4 separate regions of the Mus musculus genome follow, and regions 1, 2 and 3 are each reported to be linked to region 4. The links are microRNA targets in miRTarBase. Many come from high-throughput screens and were not tested one by one. Region 4 holds a microRNA gene; each other region holds the end of a gene's coding sequence.

The links. The annotated mature microRNA mmu-miR-466a-3p reads UAUACAUACACGCACACAUAAGA and lies in region 4 at 2,810-2,832, shown strand. An mRNA with a match to its seed (bases 2 to 7 or 8) in the 3' UTR can be bound and repressed. Matches are read on the target gene's strand: a 7mer-m8 pairs with bases 2 to 8, a 7mer-A1 pairs with bases 2 to 7 and ends in A, and an 8mer does both.
Region 1: the mRNA of Pafah1b1 is a reported target of mmu-miR-466a-3p. Seed matches in the 3' UTR shown: 8mer at 1,757-1,764 and 7mer-A1 at 4,220-4,226.
Region 2: the mRNA of Ccdc138 is a reported target of mmu-miR-466a-3p. Seed matches in the 3' UTR shown: 7mer-m8 at 876-882 and 8mer at 880-887.
Region 3: the mRNA of Txlnb is a reported target of mmu-miR-466a-3p. Seed matches in the 3' UTR shown: 8mer at 1,404-1,411.

Annotation. Positions count from the first base shown.
Region 1 is chr11:74,673,147-74,678,305 of GRCm38, reverse strand. Pafah1b1 (platelet-activating factor acetylhydrolase, isoform 1b, subunit 1) reads left to right here. Exons shown (of 11, transcript NM_013625.4): 11 at 564-4,357. The coding sequence ends at 637. Among named protein-coding and RNA genes, the nearest start is that of Cluh, 26 kb to the right of the region's middle.
Region 2 is chr10:58,575,018-58,580,176 of GRCm38, forward strand. It overlaps Ccdc138 (coiled-coil domain containing 138), which reads left to right. Exons shown (of 16, transcript NM_001162956.1): 16 at 672-1,227. The coding sequence ends at 837. Among named protein-coding and RNA genes, the nearest start is that of Ccdc138, 80 kb to the left of the region's middle.
Region 3 is chr10:17,842,499-17,847,657 of GRCm38, forward strand. Txlnb (taxilin beta) reads left to right here. Exons shown (of 10, transcript NM_138628.3): 10 at 200-3,165. The coding sequence ends at 982. Among named protein-coding and RNA genes, the nearest start is that of Gm20655, 9.5 kb to the left of the region's middle.
Region 4 is chr2:10,493,510-10,498,668 of GRCm38, forward strand. It overlaps Mir466b-7 (microRNA 466b-7), which reads left to right and starts at 2,759; the gene lies at 2,759-2,846. The region is part of intron 10 of Sfmbt2 (Scm-like with four mbt domains 2); the gene reads left to right. It overlaps Mir467a-7 (microRNA 467a-7), which reads left to right and starts at 1; the gene lies at 1-83. Mir466b-6 (microRNA 466b-6) reads left to right here and starts at 289; the gene lies at 289-378. It also overlaps Mir669a-9, Mir467a-8, Mir669p-2 and Mir467a-9.

The sequences.
Region 1 (5,159 bases), not on the chromosome of region 4:
AAATGCACTATCCACTATATACCACCATCACCATGTACTTAGGGAATTGTATAAACGTCATGTCCTCAGTATCATCTGGAGTTGATAACAGTGAATTCAGTAAATTGTAATGTACTAGGGTATGATGGATGGACCTTATGGTGACAATAAAGCCCTTGGTAAATTGGGCAGGAGTGTTGCATTAGTACTAAGCCTGAAGCACAACATTCAGTAAATCAATATGCTGGGTGAATATGCACTTGTTAGTAGGTTTGAGCATTGTTTGGGATGATACTAGTGACATCGAGTGGAATTTAATAATTGAGTTTCAACATTCCTAATCCAGTTGGTAAGCTCAGTAATTTTAGAGATATGGATGGGTATGTATATGGAGAAAATCGTGGACATTGTATTCAAGTGTGGAGGCAGAGGTTCATAGACTCCCAGAGCTTGGGAAGCTGACCTGGAGGGAATCAAGTACAAGGCCTGCTGGGCTTATATAAAATATACTGCTCAAAAAGCAAGCAAAGCATTCTGTCTGGCTTAGTATGGTTTGAAAACAAGCCTTTTCTTTTCTCTTTCAGATTTCCATAAGACGGCACCCTATGTGGTTACTGGCAGTGTAGATCAAACAGTAAAGGTGTGGGAGTGCCGTTGATTGAGTCACATTTGGTTCTTCCTCCCTTTTTTCCTCTGGATGCACTCTGATGATACCATGGTTACCCCATTTGAGCTCTGTTTAAATAAATATTGTCCTTTCATGTAAATTATTCTGGATGTAGATTGAACTTATTAAATGTTACACACAAAGTATTCATGCATGGTGAATCCAAATTGTATACTGTAAATTTACATATGTTGTCTAGAAGTACCATAGGGTTTAAAAACCTGGGCTGGCATTGGTCACACCAGGCCTACAAGGGCAGAAGTTAAATAAATTGAACTAGGGCACTAAACTGAATAGTTGACAGTGTCATTTTATGTTGGATTATTAATTACTGTTTTTCTTCCTGCTATCTGTTGGTGCCTGACTTGATGGCCTCATTTTGGGGAAAGTGGTGGTTATTAGGGCTTTTTCTGAAATGTGTATCTATGTAACATCACTTAAGTGTGCTTACTAAATCTTTAAGGGTGTTAGATAATAAGACTGCAATTCAGAATCTTTGCTCCATCTGTGTAATGGGGATTACACATGAAGTTTTTGTCATGACCCCTTTGCCAAATCAATAGGATATGTTTGTTTTGGCAGCCTATCAAGCAAAGGCTAGTGGTTTATTTATGTAAGAAAATGATCGTAATTCTCAAGAAAAATCTCAGCAGCTAATAGTGAATCCTTTTTCATTTGGGTCTTACTGCTTTGTAAACAGGTCAGGAAGCACTGTCCTACTTTAGGCTTCTCTTCACACTAGACATGCGAGTTGTATTCTCCAGACTGTTGGACTGTGTAGTGATGTGACTCCCCAGTAGAATTTGATCTTCCCATTGAGTGTTATGGTACAGATCACTATGTGTTTATGATGTTTTTAGGGATGTGCAATGTGCATGTCAGAATTATGAATGCTGACAAAGCTGGGTGCGCATTTTAAAGGAGTGGAAGGAACAGTTTCCAACATGACCCTGATAACAATTCGAACTGTTTCACTTACAAGCTATAAAAAAAAGTGACAGGGTGTAATGAAGCGTGCATAGAATATACTGGGTTTTTTTTTTCTCATGTTTTGTTTATATGTAAATGTTTATAAGTATATGGGCCTATCTGTAAGTGGATATGTCTATATATGTATATCACACACATATAACCTCCATGTTGTTGGGTCTTAAGTTTTTGAAGAAGTGCTAAAACTTACGCATAGAGTAAATCTTGCTGGGGAACACCAACCACAGCCATGCTAAACTCTTCTGCTGTTTCTGACTCTGAGGAGCTTTTCTAAGAGAAAGTCACTTCCTTTGTTCTCCCCTCTAATGTGGCCAGTCACCATGTTACGCATTCCTCATAGGCTGTATATTTTGATCCAGAGTTTCTACAGTAGGTTTAAGAGAATTTTGCCCATGACTTTTGGAACACTATTCCATTGTCAATTTTTAATAAAGAATTTATCACCTAGCTAATCAACTTTTTTTTCTTTTTAAGAAAATCAATTTGAAAGGTTAACAGAAACAATGACATAACAGTGACAGTCTAACAATGATAATTTTTTTTTTCTGGACTGCATTTTATTCGTTTGTATAATAGATTTTTTAAAAATCCCTTTAAGTATTGAATGGAAATTTGGTTCCTGAAAGGACAAAGGGTGAGAATTAATGTCCTGTAGATATACACAAGAGATTAGGCTCTGACAGAAGCTCACTGTCTAGCTTGTGTGCTTTTGTTTGTTCACTTGTTTGTTCTTAATATTCCTCAGAGATTTCTCTAGAAAGGAAAAGTGTTTTGAGAATTAAGTGGTTATTTTTGAGGACAAAAACTCCATCGTGACTCCCATAAACAACACTGTAGGTTGGCTTTTAGGACAACATTGCCTCACAGCCCTGCTTACATTAAGAAGTCTTTTTCTCCTAGCTGTTCTGACTGGATTTTTCTCCAAAAGCTATAGAAAATACCTTCGTTCTCATTTGCTGCTATTTCCTGTCCTATTTCAAGAATATAAATACATAGAAATGGTGCATCTTAACATTTGTTTGTATGTGTTAAAATGTCTTGTTTTTTAATTCAGTTTTAGCATGTAGCAACATGAATTGTTTAAGGGTAAGCCACAACATCTAGACATCATTCATAGAAACAATAAAGAATGGTACCAATGTAGAGGAGCAAAGCTGCTGGGTTTCCTCCCCTGCAGCAGTGACTCACTGACAACGGAGGAGAGAGTGCTCTGTAACAAAGCTGTCCTTACTTGGGAGAATGCCACAGCCTGCTGCTTAGCTGAGTTACCAGACATCATCCATTTAAGCAGCAGAAAACATTGAATCTCAGGGATGGTCCACAGCTGGATCCAAACTTAACGAGCCCTGTTTGAATAATGAAGGGTGGCGGGGCAACATCCACATCTGGCATCGGATTTGCAAAGGTTTCTCACACTGTTGTTTGACACTGCCCTGTTGATGCCCTTACTCTTATGTTACTGTTTTCTCTGTCTGCTGTCTAACCCTGTGCCTTGCCTGGGATAAGGACAATGATAAAGTTACTGGTTTGGGTTGTAAGTAGAGGACTTTATGAATTGGTTAGCGGTTCACTGCTGCTTTGTTACTTTCTTGAGTCAGATTGGCTGCTTACTAAATAAAAAGCTGATAGAATTGTGTACTCGGATGGTTGTTGATTGTGTGTGTAAACAGACATTCCAGTGCCACCTATAGCACAGCGTGCCCAAGAAGTCCTAACCGCATGGAGAGTGCAAGCTGCAGGTTGGTTTGTGTAGACATGACCTGAAGAATAGTTGCTTTTCACATGACATCTTGCACTTTAGGAGACTAAGACCGTCCTGTTCTGTCTGCATGTGGTGTGACCAATGGTGTGCTCAGAGCACTACCCACAATCACTAGTATTAGCAAGCCGTCCCGGGCCGTGATGCACTATTAGTCCTTTGGAAGCTTTGGCTTTAGGCTCACCAAGCCCAGTCTCCTGTTTGCCTCTTTCTGTTCTTTGTGAACTTCCAGATAATACCACTCACTAAAGTTTATTTTTTTGTTGTTTGTTTTTTAATTTAAAAGAAAAAAACTATTTAAAAATAAGGACATTTTGTTTGTTGACAGTGGTGGCTTGATAATCCTTAAGCAACAAGTTGAAATAGAAGGAAAAGGCACTTGAAAAGGTTACTCTTCCTGTCCAGCTGTATATAAACCCAGTGTGTTGATTAATCTAGATGGTGCAAAAAGGAATGTCATGGTAGACAAGCAACATGGGCAAAATTGCAAGAAAGGTTTTGGGTTTTTTCCAGTGGGCTGGGTTGGGTGGGATGGGGTAAGCTGGACTCACAAGTCACGACTGGACGGGCCTTTTTATCCTTTCACTGTATCATGTAAGTAGCTGCTTTCTTGCCTGCTTATCCTTCAGGCATCCCCAAAGCTCACTCTGAAGACGTTAGAAATAAACACAAACTCTACGAGTTAGAAGCCGGTCCTGACACTGACATGAAGGCAAACATTGATTTCATATGAACGTTGCAGAGGTGGTCATTGGAGAAAACAGTTCCCAGATTGTTAAGAGTTCACCGAAGATATCGACAAAATTTTAAAAATCAGTAAAGGAATGTATATAATATTGCTCTTGTGTTTTACAGTAAGATTTGTTGCTCTCAGACTGTGTAAAACAAAATTTATCCATGTTTTCTGCATATTAAAAATCTTATTGTACCAATTGGTAAACTATTAAATGCCTATAAAACTAGATCTGGTGGGGTTTTTTTCAATGGTCATTGGGGGTGAGGTTGTGTTGATCTTGGCAGGAAGTGAGACTTGGGCACCAGCAACAGAAAGAATGTTAGTTGGCCATAAGCAACAGAGCTGTGCTACCACTGCCTTTTGCTGTTGTCTACCCCTTATCTGGAGGGAGCAGCATGTAGGTAGGTCTCTCGTAGCCATAGGCTTGAGCCTAACTAGAACTACTGACTGCACTGCACAGCTAAGCACACTTACTGTCTCTTAGAGATACAGACTCAATTCCAGAGATGAGGGCCCTGCCCATTTTGTATTTATCATCTCTTACCTTGGAGATAAACATCCTTAATGTCAGGTTTTATGAAATATACCAGAGTAAGTCTTCACTTTGTTCTAGGTGCTCTGTCTCGTGCTGGTGCCTCCTGTTGGAAGGTGTCTTCCCAACCAAAAGAAGCAGGGCTGTACTTGGCCAGTTTTTCTACTAGACCTGACCGATTTCCCTCTGGTGGAGTTCTAACTTAAATATCATATCCTGTTGTGAATTTGGAAACTGGTTGTGGATCACATGTTGGCCTCTGTCCTGAAGGCAGGGAGATAGCTCTGTGCAGGATGCCGGCTGCATCCTTCCTTCCTGGTTAGTCTGGTGAGAACTTGTGCAGACATGAATTCAACTGCTAGCAGCAATTTTCTGCTTCTGAGTCAACATATCCTCGTTAGACATGTATATTCTAGCCCCCCACCTCAAGACATACTAATAGCCAGTACAGGCAGCCTTTTGAACATGTCCTCCAGATTAGCCTAACAAGGCTGAA
Region 2 (5,159 bases), not on the chromosome of region 4:
GGCTATTTTATAATTTCTCTCAAGAGGCAGATACACCCAGATAAGAAAATAAAATATGATGAAGTTCTGTTTTACATTTAAGATACAATTCTAACTAAAACGAAATTACTGAATGCCTTCTCTTCCTCCTCTTCCTTCTTCTTTCTCTTCCTGCTCTTCCTCCTCTTCTTTTCTTCTTTTCCCCCCTTCTCCTATTTCTTCTTTTGTTTTGTAAGACAAGGTCTCTCTATGTAGCCCTGACTATCCTAGAACTTGCTGTGTAGCCCAGGCTGTCCTGGACCTCAGATCTGCCTACCTGATTAAAGAGTACGCAGCACTGCACAGAGCCCAAGTGTCTGTGAGGGAGGAAAAGCAGCGCATTCATTGTAGATCCCTCAGGTAACAGTTAGGTTCTGGCCAGCTGGGAAGCAGGGCTTCCTTGTACCTAGTAGATTTTTTTTTTTTTCTATTAGTAAACAGGGATCAGTTTTCAGGATATAAACAGTTTTCTTTTTTGCCTTTAATGTCTTTCCACTCTGGCCTTAACTCCTAAAACCTAGTTTTCTTAGTATCTTAATCCTGTAGTCAGCCATTTTCTCCATTGTTCTTAAAAAGCAAGTGCTATTTCCTCACATTTGCATACGTTCTCTCAAGTTTATAAGCAATTAAATAATGTGCCCATTCTTTTACAGGAGTAACAAGAAGCTCTTTGAAGTTTTTACCATTCACCTAATGCTTCAGGAAATACAAAGGACAACACATCCAGAGCACGCCTTTCTCTGTATTAATCTGAATTCAACTCTGTTCAACCTGGGTTTGACAAAATGTAACTCCCTGGTCACTAGTACAAGCCATTAGAAAAATGTGTGTGTGTGTGTGTGTGTGTGTGTGTGTGATATGTATGTATATGTGTTCTTTATTTGTAAAAGTGGAAAAATCACTAAAATACAATTCCTCAGAGTAAAATTATTAACAGCATCATTTATCATGAAAGATATCTAGAAAGATTTTTCAGCAACGTAAATGAGACCCGTAGAAGGTATGGCTGTTTTAGAATGTTTCAGTTTAAGGTAATACTAATGTACAAGATGACTTTTCCAGAATTCAAGGCATCAGGGTTAGAATTCAAAGCAATAGGGTTACAGTTTGTAAAAATATTTTAGGAAAAGTCTTCTTGAAATTATGTGATTATTTGGAATATAATTTGTCCTTATGTGGAAATAAACTATGTTATCATTTTTCCCTTAATATAGTAGAGTCCCTTCTTTTGATAACATTTTTTCTTAAAGGCAGGGTTTTTATGTAGTGCTGGGTGTCCTGGGACTGGATGTATAAATCACGCTGACCTGGAACTTATAGCCTCCTACCTCTGCCTTCTAAGTGCTGGACTAAAGGCATACACCACCACACCAGGTAAGTACTTATCTTGTATTTGTTCATTCTGTTTTTCCTTTACCTTTATTTGCATTGTGGTTGTTGGGCAGGTACTGTTCTCAAGCCCAAGAGTGTATATGGCTTATACAGTATTATGAAATTGGGTGCATATGTGTTAACAGTCATTATGACCTCTTGATGTTCTCTTAAACAACAGGAAGTGACCATCTTTATCCTTTTCCACTAGTTCTGGTTTGAGCCTGTTCTGTTAGATGTTAGAACACTGGCATTTGCCTCTTAGGTCCATTTATTTGGAGCATCTCTTGGTATCTGTCCTACTTAGCTTTTTATTGCTGTGATAGCACACTGACCAAAAGCAACTGGGGAGGAAAGGACTCTTATCTCACACTTGTACATCATAGCCTGAGGACAGCCAGGGCTGTGACTGAAGCAGGAACCTGGAGGCAGGAGCTGAAGCAGAGATCATGGAGGAATGCTGCTTACTGCCTTGCTCCCCATGGCTCACTAGTCTTTTTTATACAACCCTGGAATGCCTGTCAAGGAGTTACTCCTCCCATAGTTGTCTGGGCCCCCCAACATCACCCATTTCTCAAGAAAATGTCCCACACACTTGCCTACTAACCAGTACAGGCTGGGTAAGCATCTCTATCCCTAACTTTAGAAAACTGTCTTTTTTTTTTTCTTTAATGTTTTCTATGCCTTTAGAACTAGATTCCCTTTCTATGCCTATTGCTCAAAGGTTTGATCTTTCCAGAGTGTCACATATGTCATGGATTTCCCACTGACATCTTCTGATTTTTATCCCTGCTTGATTATTCCAGTTCTATACTTTATCTTTAAGCTCAGGTAGTCTGTCTTCTATTTGATCCATTCTGTTTCTGAGATTTTCTACAGAGCTTCTTCTATGAATTAGTATGTTTGTCATTTCCAACAGTTCAGATTATTTTTTTCTTCAATATTTCTGAGTCTTTTCAAACTTCCCCTTTCCTCCTGGTCTGCATTAGTTTCCTTGTGCCAGTCCTACAACACCCAGAGGGGGCTCCACTCCCAGGCACTCTAACACCTAGGATCACAGGATCACAGGAGCTTGGTCACACCAGTTTTTCAGGGTCCCAGAGGCAGCTTGACTCCCAGGAACTCTGACATACCCAGGATCTCAGGATCACAGGATCCCAGAATCACAGGATCACAGAGACAGCTGGACTCTGAGGAGTTCTGACACAACCAGAATTACAGGAAGGACAGGCTTCAGTCAGATAGCACTAGAGATAATCAGATGTTGAGAGGCAAGCTTAAGAACATAAGCAACAGAAGCCAAGGTTACTTGGCATCATCAGAACCCAATTTTCCCACCATCGCAAGTTCTGGATACACCATCACAGAAAAAGTAAGATTCAGATCTAAAATCACTTTTCATGACACTGATAGAGGACTTCAAGAAGGACATAAGTAACTCCCTTAAAGAAATACAGGAGAACACAGGTAAACAGGTAGAAGCCCTTAAAGAGGAAGCACAAAAATTCCTTAAACAATTACAGGAAAACACAATCAAACAGGCGAAGGAAATGAACAAAGCCACCCAAGATCTAAAAAATGGAAATAGAAACAATAAAGAAATCACAAAGGGAGACAACCCTGGAGTTAGAAAACCTAGGAAAGAGATCAGGAGTCATAGATGCAAGCATCACCAACAGAATACAAGAGATAGAAGAAAGAATCTCAAGGGCAGAAGATACCATAGAAAACATTGACACAACAATCAAAGAAAATGCAAAAAGCAAAAATCTCCTAATCTAAAACATCCATGAAATCCATGACACAATGAGAAGACCAAACCTAAGGATAATAGGTATAGAAGTTTCCTAAACTAAAGAAAGAGATGCACATGAACATACAAGAAGCCTACAGAATTTCAAATAGACTGGCCCAGAAAAGCAATTTCTCCTGTCACATAATAATTAAAGCACCAAATGCATTAAACAAAGAAAGAATATTAAAAGCATTAAGGGAAAAAGGTCAAGTAACATATTCAGGCAGATCTATCAGAATTACATTAGACTTTTCAACAGAGACTATGAAAGCTACAAGATCCTGGGCAGATGTCATACAGACCCTAAGAGAACATAAATGCCAGCCCAGACTACTATACCCAGCAAAACTATCAATTACCATAGACCGAGAAAACAAGATATTCGATGACAAAACCAAATTTACACATTATCTTTCTACAAATCCAGCCCTACAAAGAATAATAGATGGAAAACACCAACACAAGGAGGGAAACTACACCCTAGAAAAAGCAAAAAAGTAATCTTTCATCAAACCTAAAAGAAGATAGCCACACAAACATAATTCCACCTCTAACAACAAAAATAACAGGAACTAACAATCACTATTCCTTACTATCTCTTAACATCAATGGACTCAATTCCCCAATAAAAAGACATAGGCTAACAGACTGGATACATAAACAGGACCCAGCATTTTGCTGCATACAGAAAATGCACCTCAGTGACAAAGACAGACACTGCCTCAAAGTAAAAGGCTGAAAAACAATTTTTCCAAGCAAATGGTCCCAAGAAACAAGCTGGACTAGCCATTCTAATATTGAATAAAATCGACTTTCAACCGAAAATCAGAAAAGATAAGGAAGGACACTTCCTACTGGTCAAAGAAAAAATCTACCAAGATGAACTCTCAATTCTGGACATCTATGCTCCAAATGCAAGGACACCCACATTCAGAAAAGAAACTTTTTACTAAAGCTCAAAGGACACATCATATCCCACACAATAATAGTGGGAGACTTTAACACCCCAACTCTCAGCAATGGACAGATTATGGAAACAAACTAAACAAGGACACAGTGAAACTAACAGAAGTTATGAACCAAATGGATCTAACATATTTATAGAACATTCCATCCTAAAGCAAAAGAATATGCCTTCTTGTCAGCACCTCATGGTACCTTCTCCAAAAATGACCATATAATTGGTCACAAAACAGGTCTCAACAAATACAAGAAGATTAAAATAATCCCATGTACCCTATCAGATCACCACAGAATAAGACTGGTCTTAAATTTCAACAAAGACAATGGATAACACACATACACATGGAAACTGAACAAACTACTCAGTGATAACTTGGTCAAGGAAGAAATAAAGAAAATAAAGGCTTTTTAGAATTTAATCAAAATGAAGACACATCATACCAAAACCTATGGGACACAAAGCAGTGGTAAGAGGAAAACTCATAGCTCCAAAGTGCCTCCAAAAAGAAACTGGAGAGAGCTTACACTAGCAGCTTGACAGCACACCTGAAAATCTCTAGAACAAAAAGAGCAAATACACCCAAGAGGAGTAGACAGCAGGAAATACTCAAACTCAGGGCTGAAATCAACCAAATAGAAACAAAAAGAACTATACGAAGAATCAACAAAACCAGGAGCTAGTTCTTTGAGAAAACAAGACAGATAAACCCTGAGCCAGATTAACCAGAAGGCACAGAGACAGAATCCAAATTTATAAAATCAGAAATGAAAGGGGATGCACAACAATGGAAACTGTGGAAATCTAAAGAAATCATCATATCCGACTACAAAAGTTTATATTCAACTAAATTGGAAAATCTGGATGAAATGGACAATTTTCTAGACAAATACCAGGTGCCAAAGTTAAAACAGGATCAGATAAACTAAACAGTCCCATAACCCTTGAAGAAATAAAAGCAGTCATTAATAGTCTCCCAACCAAAAAAAGCCCAGGACCAGATAGGTTTAATGG
Region 3 (5,159 bases), not on the chromosome of region 4:
AAGAACAGGCAATAGTAATTAAAAGTCTTTTAGTCTAATAATCAAAACATCAGAAAAACAAAGAGATGTCCCGAAATGTTTGTTCAAACGTAGTAGGCAAATTCTAGTTTTGTTTCTGGACAGCATCGTGAGAAATTCACTGCTCATGTCGTGTGTGTGTGTGTGTGTGTGTGTGTGTGTGTGTGCATTTATGTCACAGAAAGCCCTGCGAGCTAAAGAATACGAGTGTTTCGTGATGAAAATCCAAAGGCTGGAGAACCTGTGTCGTGCTTTACAAGAGGAGAGAAAGGAACTCTACAAGAAAATCAGAGAAGCAAAAATGTCCGAAAAGGAAGACCAGGTTCAGCGCACCTCTGAGGAAGAGCCAGAGCCAAGCGTCTCTGAAAATGAAGAGGTGGACGCAGAGGAAGCCAACAGTTTTCAAAAAGCTGTGGAAAACCTGGCCACAGCTTTTACCATCCTTCATCATCCAGAGTTCACCCCAGACCAACCAACGGAAAGACAGCTGGCAGTGAATGGTCCTCAAAGTGGAAGTGATGTCACCCACCAGCACCCCGAAACAGCCCGTTTAAACCATCCCAGCCTTCCCGCTGATTCAGGGAGTCCTCGGCCCCCTGTAGGTGCTCAGGCTGTGGCGGAGGGCGTCTGTGAGGCCACACCTGCCCCTACAGCCTCCTGTACCCCTGCAGAGGCAGAGCTACAAAGTCAGGGTCTCCCTGCAGAAAATACCCCGGGTCCGAAGCCCCATAAACCAGAGGCAAACACTTCTGGTCAGGCCCCACTGTCCCCAGCCCAGGGCTCCCTATCTGTAGTAGAGGCAAAATATGATATTTCACCATCTCCAGAGAGTGAGGGAGATTCTGCTGTGGTGCCCGGCTGTGAGTCTAGGGAGCAGCCCCCACCAGAAGTCACAGACATCCCCGTAGGCCCTTCCACTGGACTCCCCAGAGAGCCCGATGCTTGTCTGAATGGAGTAGACTAAGCCTTGTTGATTCTTCTGGCTGCTCACCTGACTGCATCTTCCTCACAGAAGAAAGTCTGTGAAAGAAACTTCTAGGACTAGGAAGAGTTAGAGTCAAGACATTTTTAAAGTTGTACAGAACACTTCCAGTCTTTGCTGCTGTTTGCAATTTATAACTAATATGGAAATTCTCTGTGATTTGGCAGCCAAACACATCAATAGCAAATATACATTACTTTCCCATTACATTGGTGCCTTAATCCAGTTTGTTAGCAGTAAGATTTTGTATTTAAGGACTCCCACTATAACAAATAAATACACTGAAATATTACATTTATTTCCACAAATAACCCAATAAGATCTATAATGGATATCCAGGTTCCATTTAAATAGCATAATATACAGTGTACTTATGTGTATACACAATACACATAAATACATTTATGTATACACATACACATGTATTTTCATACGTGCATATAAAGTCATCACACAAGTATATTTTGCTCCTAACAGATTTTTCTCTATTGCAAGATATGCTTGTAAAAATTTTTCTATCTTACTTACACTCTGGACTACAGTAGATTAAAGCTCTATGGATCAGAAATAGCACATGTGCTACAATGCCTGGACACAAAGAGGACCACAAGAGGCTTTTAACAGAAAGGGGAAAAAACACAAACAGGTGCTTCTGATCTTCTCAGCCAACTTCCTCCCAACTTCCCAGCATCACCTCCTGGGTTGAGGCAGCCGCCTCCTGGCTACCTGTGAGAAGGTGGTTGGAAATAGAGAAAGCACCTAAGTAAGATTTGAGAGGTTGAGTATCCTCAGCTTAGAGGTCTCAGCCTCTTTGACTACTGATATCTCAAGAAAACACTTTTTGTTGTCTCTGACATTGTCTTTATCTCAAAGCATCTATTCCTTCCAAATTTCCTCCTTTGCGTCAATGTGTGTGCCTGGCCCACATCTCAATTAATGTTAAGTAAAATGTATTTTTCCAAAACGGAAATACATACGAGCTCTCAATAGGAGTAACAAGGCTTACAAAGCTAACACATTTTCTGCTCTAAGAATTTTTGAACAGGCAGAAGTACAAAATTTTTAAAAGGGGGGGGGGGCCTCCTACTCATAATTCAAAAATAACAGGCAAGGACTCCATAGATGTCAAAAGCAAGAAGCACTTGGGATTACCCAAACAAGTTTTATACTCTCATTGTTCGCAAAAACCTCTAATAACACTGGCAGCATAAAATGCTCTGCCTAGGCTCAAAGAAAACTGTACTAACAGAACAGGGAGAGGTGGGAAGGAGGGAGACAGAAGGTGCATAAAGAGAGGACGGTCTAATCTAACTCTATGTTAAGAAGTTGAACACAGGTAGAAATGTGGATAAAGGAGGATTCTTGAAAACTCATCCAGGAAATCACTCTTCAGTGGTGCACGTGGCTGCTTGCCAATGCACACGAGGAGCTGGGAGGCAGTAGCCATATGTTGAAGGAATTATAAAACTGTATAAAATTTATTTGAAGTAGACAGTAAGGGAAAGAACAAAAATACCATTTGGGGAAAAAATCAGGGGAAAAAGCATGCCATTATTTGAGAACCCATGTGTTTTCAGAGGCTTTGCATATTATAACCACACGGGTATCCAGCCAAGTTCAACACCACTGGAAATTAGACATTCAATTAACTCAAAGCCAAATATTCACTACACTAATCCCTTCTCTCTGTTTACAGGAGCTGAGCTTCAAAGAACAGAGTAGGATCATCACAGTTAGGTCTCAATCCAAGAGCTTAGGAAGACAAACAGGCAGGAGGCACTGACATCCAATAAATTAAGTGTTCTCATATCCAAAGTTTATTATTTTCATCCAAGAGGGTTTCACAGCAACATATCACTCACAACTGTGTGTACCTTTGGCACAGTTTCACAGACTACACCTTCCCTGAAATCTGTAAAGCTTTAATATAGACTTTGGGAGAATTATTTTAATAGTAAAAGAATGTTTTATTATAGTTCCTTGTGTTCAAACTTGGCTGTACTAATCATAACAACTCATAAGATCTGAAAGCAGAAAATATATCTCTTTTTATGAAGTTCATATAACTATTTTTAGAGATGCCAAGTCTTTCTAGAAACACTGGAATTATTGCTTTCTAAATGTAATAACATAATGTTTATACCAATTAAAAAGGCATTTCTTCCAAGTTTTCTAGTAGGTTTTTTAAATTATTTTTTATTGGATATTTTCTTTATTTACATTTCAAATGTTATCCCCTTTCCTGGTTTCCCTCTCTCCCAGAAACAATCTATCACATCCTCTCTCCCACTGCTTCTATGAGGGTGTTCCTCCATCCACCCACCCACTCCACCTCCCTGCTCTCATTTCCCCTATACTGGGGCATCTATTGAGCCTTCATAAGACCAAGGACCTCTCCTCCCATTGATTCATGACAAGGCCAACCTCTGCTACATATGCAGCTGGAACCATGTGGACTCCTTTGTTGATGGCTTAGTCCCTGGGAGATCTGGGGGGGGGGGGTCTGGTTGGTTGATATTGTTGTTCTTCCTATAGGGTTGCAAACCCCTTCAACTCCTTCAGTCCCTTCTCTAACTCCTCTATTAGGGACCCCATGCTCAGTCCAATGGTTGGCTGCTAACATCTGCCTCTGTATTTGTAAGGCTATGGCAGGGCCTCTCAGGAGACAGCCATATCAGGCTCCTTTCAGCATGCACTTCTTGGCATCCATAATAATGTCTGAGTTTGGTAACTGTATACAGGATAAATCCCCAGGTGGGACAGTCTCTGGGTGACCTTACCTTCAGTCTCTGCTCTACACATTATCTCCATATTTGTTCCTGTGAGTATTTTGTTCTCCTATATCTGATACAGGGCTAATATCCAATATATACAAAGAACTCAAGAAGTTAGACTTCAGAGAACCAAATAACTATTTTAACGATCAAAAACTCAAGTGACAGCAGATGCTGGTGAGGATATGGAGAAAGAGAAACACTCCTCCATTGTTGGTGGGATTGCAAGCTGGTACAACCACTCTGGAAATCAGTTTGGTGGTTCCTCAGAAAACTGGACATAGTATTACCTGGGGACCCAGCCATACCACTCCTGGGCATATACCCAGAAGATGCTCCAACATTCAATAAGAACACATTCTCCACTATGTTCATAGAAGCCTGTATAGTAACCAGAAGCTGGAAAGAACCCAGATGTCCCTCAAAAGAGGAATGTATAAAAAAAATATGGTACATTTACACAATTGAGTACTACTTAGCAATTAAAAACAATGAATTCATGAAATTTTTGACAAATGGATAGAACTAGAAAATATCATCCTGAGTGAGTTAACACAATTGCAAAAGAACACACATGGTATGCACTCACTGATAAGTGGATACTAGCCCAAAAGCTCCAAATAACCAGGATACAAATCACAGACCACTTGAAGCTCAGTAGGAAGGAAGACCAAAGTGTGGGATTTTTTAATTCCTTTTTTTTGGGGGGGGGCTATATTTTCCCATGATTTAAGAATACCTAATTAAAATATGGCATTATTCTATTTTTGGTTGAGTTTGGGCTTTCTAAATAAAATGTATATGTAATAAATCCTTTGAGGATATACATATACATGCTATGAAGGGGGAGGGGCTAAGGAGTAGAGGGAGGGGGAGAGATCATAGCAATAAGGCTGTAACAAAAACCACTGTGAAAGAAGAGGCCCAAACAGGATGCCCACATGCATAGCTTGACATCATTTCCTGCAAGCACAATTGCTAGAAGCTTAATCTCCAAAGTCACATGGGTTTGTAGGTAGGGCCTTTAGAAAGTAATTAAGATTAGAAGTTGTAGCAGGATGTGGTGGCCCATGCCTTTAATCCCAGAACTCAGGAGGCAGAGACAGGCAGATCCCTGTGAGATTGAGGTCAGCCTGGTCTACAGAGTTAGGTTGCAACAGCCTAGACTGTTAAACAGAGAAACCCTGTTTCGAAAAACAACAGGAGCAAAAACAAATATTAGAAGTTGTGACTAGGACATTCATCATGATGTTAGTGGCTTCTATAAGGGAAAAGAGACCTGAGCTAGCATCTTTTGGTAGGTTCAGTCATGCCACAATGCAGCAAATAATCCCTCTTCATTGCTGAGCAGATAAGCCCTGTTCTCTTCATTAAATTACATTTAT
Region 4 (5,159 bases):
TGTGCCTGTGTGCGTAAGTGCCTGCATGTATATGCGTGTATATTTTATGCATATACATACACACACCTACACACACATGCACACAGACATGCGGGAATGGCCCTCACGGATCCATTTGAATGAAATGTGACCTACTGCTTTGGAGGTTATGTATGACTGGGCCAGGGTGAGGTCTCACAAACCACAGGAAAACCCTTGGTAGATTCGAGAAGATCAGGAGTGCAAGTTCATGGTAAAGGCATGATGAGTTAGAGGTCATCCTGGCATTCATGTGATTGCCCCTATGTATGTGTGTATGTGTTGATGTGTGTGTACATGTACATGTGTGAATATGATATACATATACATACACGCACACATAAGACACATATGAGCACACAGACACATGGGAATGGCACTCATCAATCCATTTGAGTGATAAGTGACTTAGAGTGAAAATGCTTGCTAGAGTTAAGAGTATCAGGAGTTCAAATTCATACTTATCCTCATGAGAGATCAGCCTGTGATTCCTCCATGTATGTGCATGTGTGTATAGTTGTGTGTGCATGTTCATGTCTATATTTGAATATACATAACATACACACACACGTATAAACGCAAGCACACATACACAGACACAGGAATGGCATTCGCCAATCCCTTTGAATGATAAGTGATGTAGAGTTTTAGAGATTATGCAATAGGGGGCATTGAATGTCCTCACTCACCAGGTGTAAACGATTGACAAAGTCAGGAGGATAAGGATTGCAAATTCATGCTTAACTTCATTTGGAGACATCTTGGTATTAATGTCATGCAACCCATGTATGTGCATGTGTGCTTACTTGTATGTGCATTGTATGTGTTGACATGATATACATAACATAAACACACGTGTATATGCAAGCACACACACACAGGAAAAAATTGCATTCATTTATACGTTTGAATGATACGTGACTTAAAGTTTTCAAGATTATGCAGTAGTGGGACAGTGAATGGTTTTACTCACCAGGTGTGAAAGATTGTGGATCAGGAGTTCTAATTCATGCTTTACTTCATGATGACTTAGAGATATGCCTGGGATTCATGTGATGCCCCCTATGTATCCCTATCTGTATCTGTTTCTATTGTGTGTGGATTTGAGTATATGGATGTACCTATCTACACAAATATATACATGTACACAGACACAAACAGTAACACACACACAAACATGAATGCAACTCATCGATCCATTTGAATGATATGTGACTTAGAGTTTTAAGATTCCTCATTACTGAATGGGGAGAGGTCTCACTCAGCAGGAGAAATCCCTTGACAGAGTCAGGTGGATCAGGAGTTCAAATTCGTGCTGAATTTTGTGATGAGTTCATGATCAGCATGGGATTCATCTTATGCCCACCAAAAATGTGCATGTGTGTATAGTTGTGTGCATATTCACTTCTCTATATGAATATGCATATACACACATGCACACACATTCATAGGAATGGCCAGAGCTATGTCTCAGTTAGGAGGTGAGCACTCTTGTCAGTGTCAGGATGAGGAATTCAAATTTATGTTTAACTTCATGATGAGTTAGAGTTCAGCATGCGATTCATGTGATGCCCACCAAGAATGTGCATGTGTGTATAGTTGAGTACATATTCACTTCTGTACATGAATATGCATATACTCACATGCAAACATACTCCCACGAATGGCCCGAGCTATGACTTAGTTAGGAGGTGAATACTCTTGCCAGCATCATGAGGATGAGCAATTCAAATTCATGTTTAACTTTATGATGAGTTAGAGATCAGCCCGGAATTCATGTGATTTTCCCTGTGTTTGTGTTTATGTGTATAGGTGAAGTGTGCGTGTACATGCGCGTATATGAACATGCATATATATATATATATATATGTATATATATATATATATATATATATATATATATACACACACACACACACACACACAACTAGGGAAACATACATGTGCACACAAACACACATGGCAGTCATCCTTTTGATTTATACGTGCTTAGAGTTTCATTGAGTGTATATTCATGGTATAGGGAAAAATCTCTCTTATCAGATGAAAACCACTTGCCAGAGTTAGGAGTCTCAGGAGTTCAAATTCATGCTTAACTTCATAATGAGTGAGAGATCACCCTGTTTTTGTGTGATGGACCCTAGGTATGCACAAGTGCATATAATTTTGTGTGCACGTACATGTGTTTATATGATCATACATATAAATACACACACATACAAATGTAGTCACACACACAGGCATGCACACTCACACAAATAAGAATGACACTCATTGATCCATTTGAATGATATATGTCTTAGAATTTTGCTGATTATAAAGTAGGACAGTGAAGGTCTCACTCACCAGGTGTAAACAATTGACAGTGTCAGGAGGATCAGGAGTTCAATTTCATGCTTAACTTCATGAGCAGTTAGAGATCATCCTGGAATAATGTGATGGCCCCTATGTATGTGCCTGTGTGCGTAAGTGCCTGCATGTATATGCGTGTATATTTTATGCATATACATACACACACCTACACACACATGCACACAGACATGCGGGAATGGCCCTCACGGATCCATTTGAATGATATGTGACCTACTGCTTTGGAGGTTATGTATGACTGGCCAGGGTGAGGTCTCACAAACCACGGGAAACCCTTGGTAGAGTCGGGAAGATCAGGAGTGCAAGTTCATGGTAAAGGCATGATGAGTTAGAGGTCATCCTGGCATTCATGTGATTGCCCCTATGAATATGTGTATGTGTTGATGTGTGTGTACATGTACATGTGTGAATATGATATACATATACATACACGCACACATAAGACACATATGAGCACACAGACACATGGGAATGGCACTCATCAATCCATTTGCGTGATAAGTGACTTAGAGTGAAAATGCTTGCTAGAGTTAAGAGTATCAGGAGTTCAAATTCATACTTATCCTCATGAGAGATCAGCCTGTGATTCCTCCATGTATGTGCATGTGTGTATAGTTGTGTGTGCATGTTCATGTCTATATTTGAATATACATAACATACACACACACACGTATAAACGCAAGCACACATACACAGACACAGGAATGGCATTCGCCAATCCCTTTGAATGATAAGTGATGTAGAGTTTTAGAGATTATGCAATAGGGGACATTGAATGGTCTCACCCACCAGGTGTAAAAGATTGACAAAGTCAGGAGGATAAGGATTTCAACTTCATGCTTAATTCAGTTAGAGATCATCCTGGTATTCATGTGAGGCCATCCATGTATGTGCATATGTGTTTACTTGTATATGCATTGCATCTGTTGACATGATATACAAAACATAAACAAACGTGTATATGAAAGCACAGACACAGAGAAAAAAATTGCATTCATTTATACGTTTGAATGATATGCGACTTAAAGTTTTAAAGATTATGCAGTACTGGGACAGTGAACGGTTTTACTCACCAGGTGTGAAAGATTGTGGATCAGGAGTTCTAATTCATGCTTTACTTCATGATGACTTAGAGATATGCCTGGGATTCATGTGATGCCCCCTATGTATCCCTATCTGTATCTGTTTATATTTTGTGTGGATTTGAGTATATGTATGTTCCTATCTACACAAATATATACATGTACACAGACACAAACAGAAACACACACACAAACATCAGTGCAACTCATCGATCCATTTGAATGACGTGTGACTTAGAGTTTTAAGATTCCTCATTACTGAATGGGGAGAGGTCTCACTCAGCAGGTGAAGTCCCTTGACAGAGTCAGGTGGATCAGGAGTTCAAATTTGTGCTGAATTTCATGATGAGTTCATGATCAGCATGGGATTCATCTTATGCCCACCAAAAATGTGCATGTGTGTATAGTTGTCTGCATATTCACTTCTCTATATGAATATGCATATACACACATGCACACACATTCATAGGAATGGCCAGAGCTATGTCTCAGGAGGTGAGTACTCTTGCCAGTGTCAGGAGGATGAGGAGTTCAAATTCATGTTTAACTTCATGATGAGTTAGAGTTCAGCATGCGATTCATGTGATGCCCACCAAGAATGTGCATGTGTGTATAGTTGTGTACATAATCACTTCTGTATATGAATATGCATATACTCACACGCAAACATACTCCCATGAATGGCCCGAGCTATTAATCAGTTAGGAGGTGAATACTCTTGCCAGCATCATGAGGATGAGTAGTTCAAATTCATGTTTAACTTTATGATGAGTTAGAGATCAGCCGGGAATTCATGTGATTTTCCCTGTGTTTGTGTTTATGTGTATAGGGAAGTATGCCTGTACATGCGCGTATATGAACATGCATATGTATATATACACACAACTAGGGACACATATATGTGCACACAAACACACATGGCAGTCATCCATTTGATTTATACGTGCTTAGAGTTTCATTGAGTGTATATTCATGGTATAGTGAATAATCTCACTTATCAGATGAAAACCACTTGCCAGAGTTAGGAGTCTCAGGAGTTCAAATTCATGCTTAACTTCATAATGAGTTAGAGATCACCCTGTTTTTGTGTGATGGACCCTAGGTATGCACAAGTGCATATAATTGTGTGTGCACGTACATGTGTGTATATGATCATACTTATAAATACACACACATACAAATGTATTCACACACACAGGCATGCACACTCACACACATAAGAATGACACTCTTTGATCCATTTGAATGATATATGTCTTAGAATTTTGCTGATTATAAAGTAGAAGGACAGTGAAGGTCTCACTCACCAGGTGTAAACAATTGTCAGTGTCAGGAGGATCAGGAGTTCAATTTCATGCTTAACTTCATGAGCAGTTAGAGATCATCCTGGACTAATGTGATGGCCCCTATGTATGTGCCTGTGTGCGTAAGTGCCTGCATGTATATGCGTGTATATTTTATGCATATACATACACACACCTACACACACATGCACACAGACATGCGGGAATGGCCCTCACGGATCCATTTGAATGAAATGTGACCTACTGCTTTGGAGGTTATGTATGACTGGGCCAGGGTGAGGTCTCACAAACCACGGGAAAACCCTTGGTAGAGTCGGGAAGATCAGGAGTGCAAGTTCATGGTAAAGGCATGATGAGTTAGAGGTCATCCTGGCATTCATGTGAT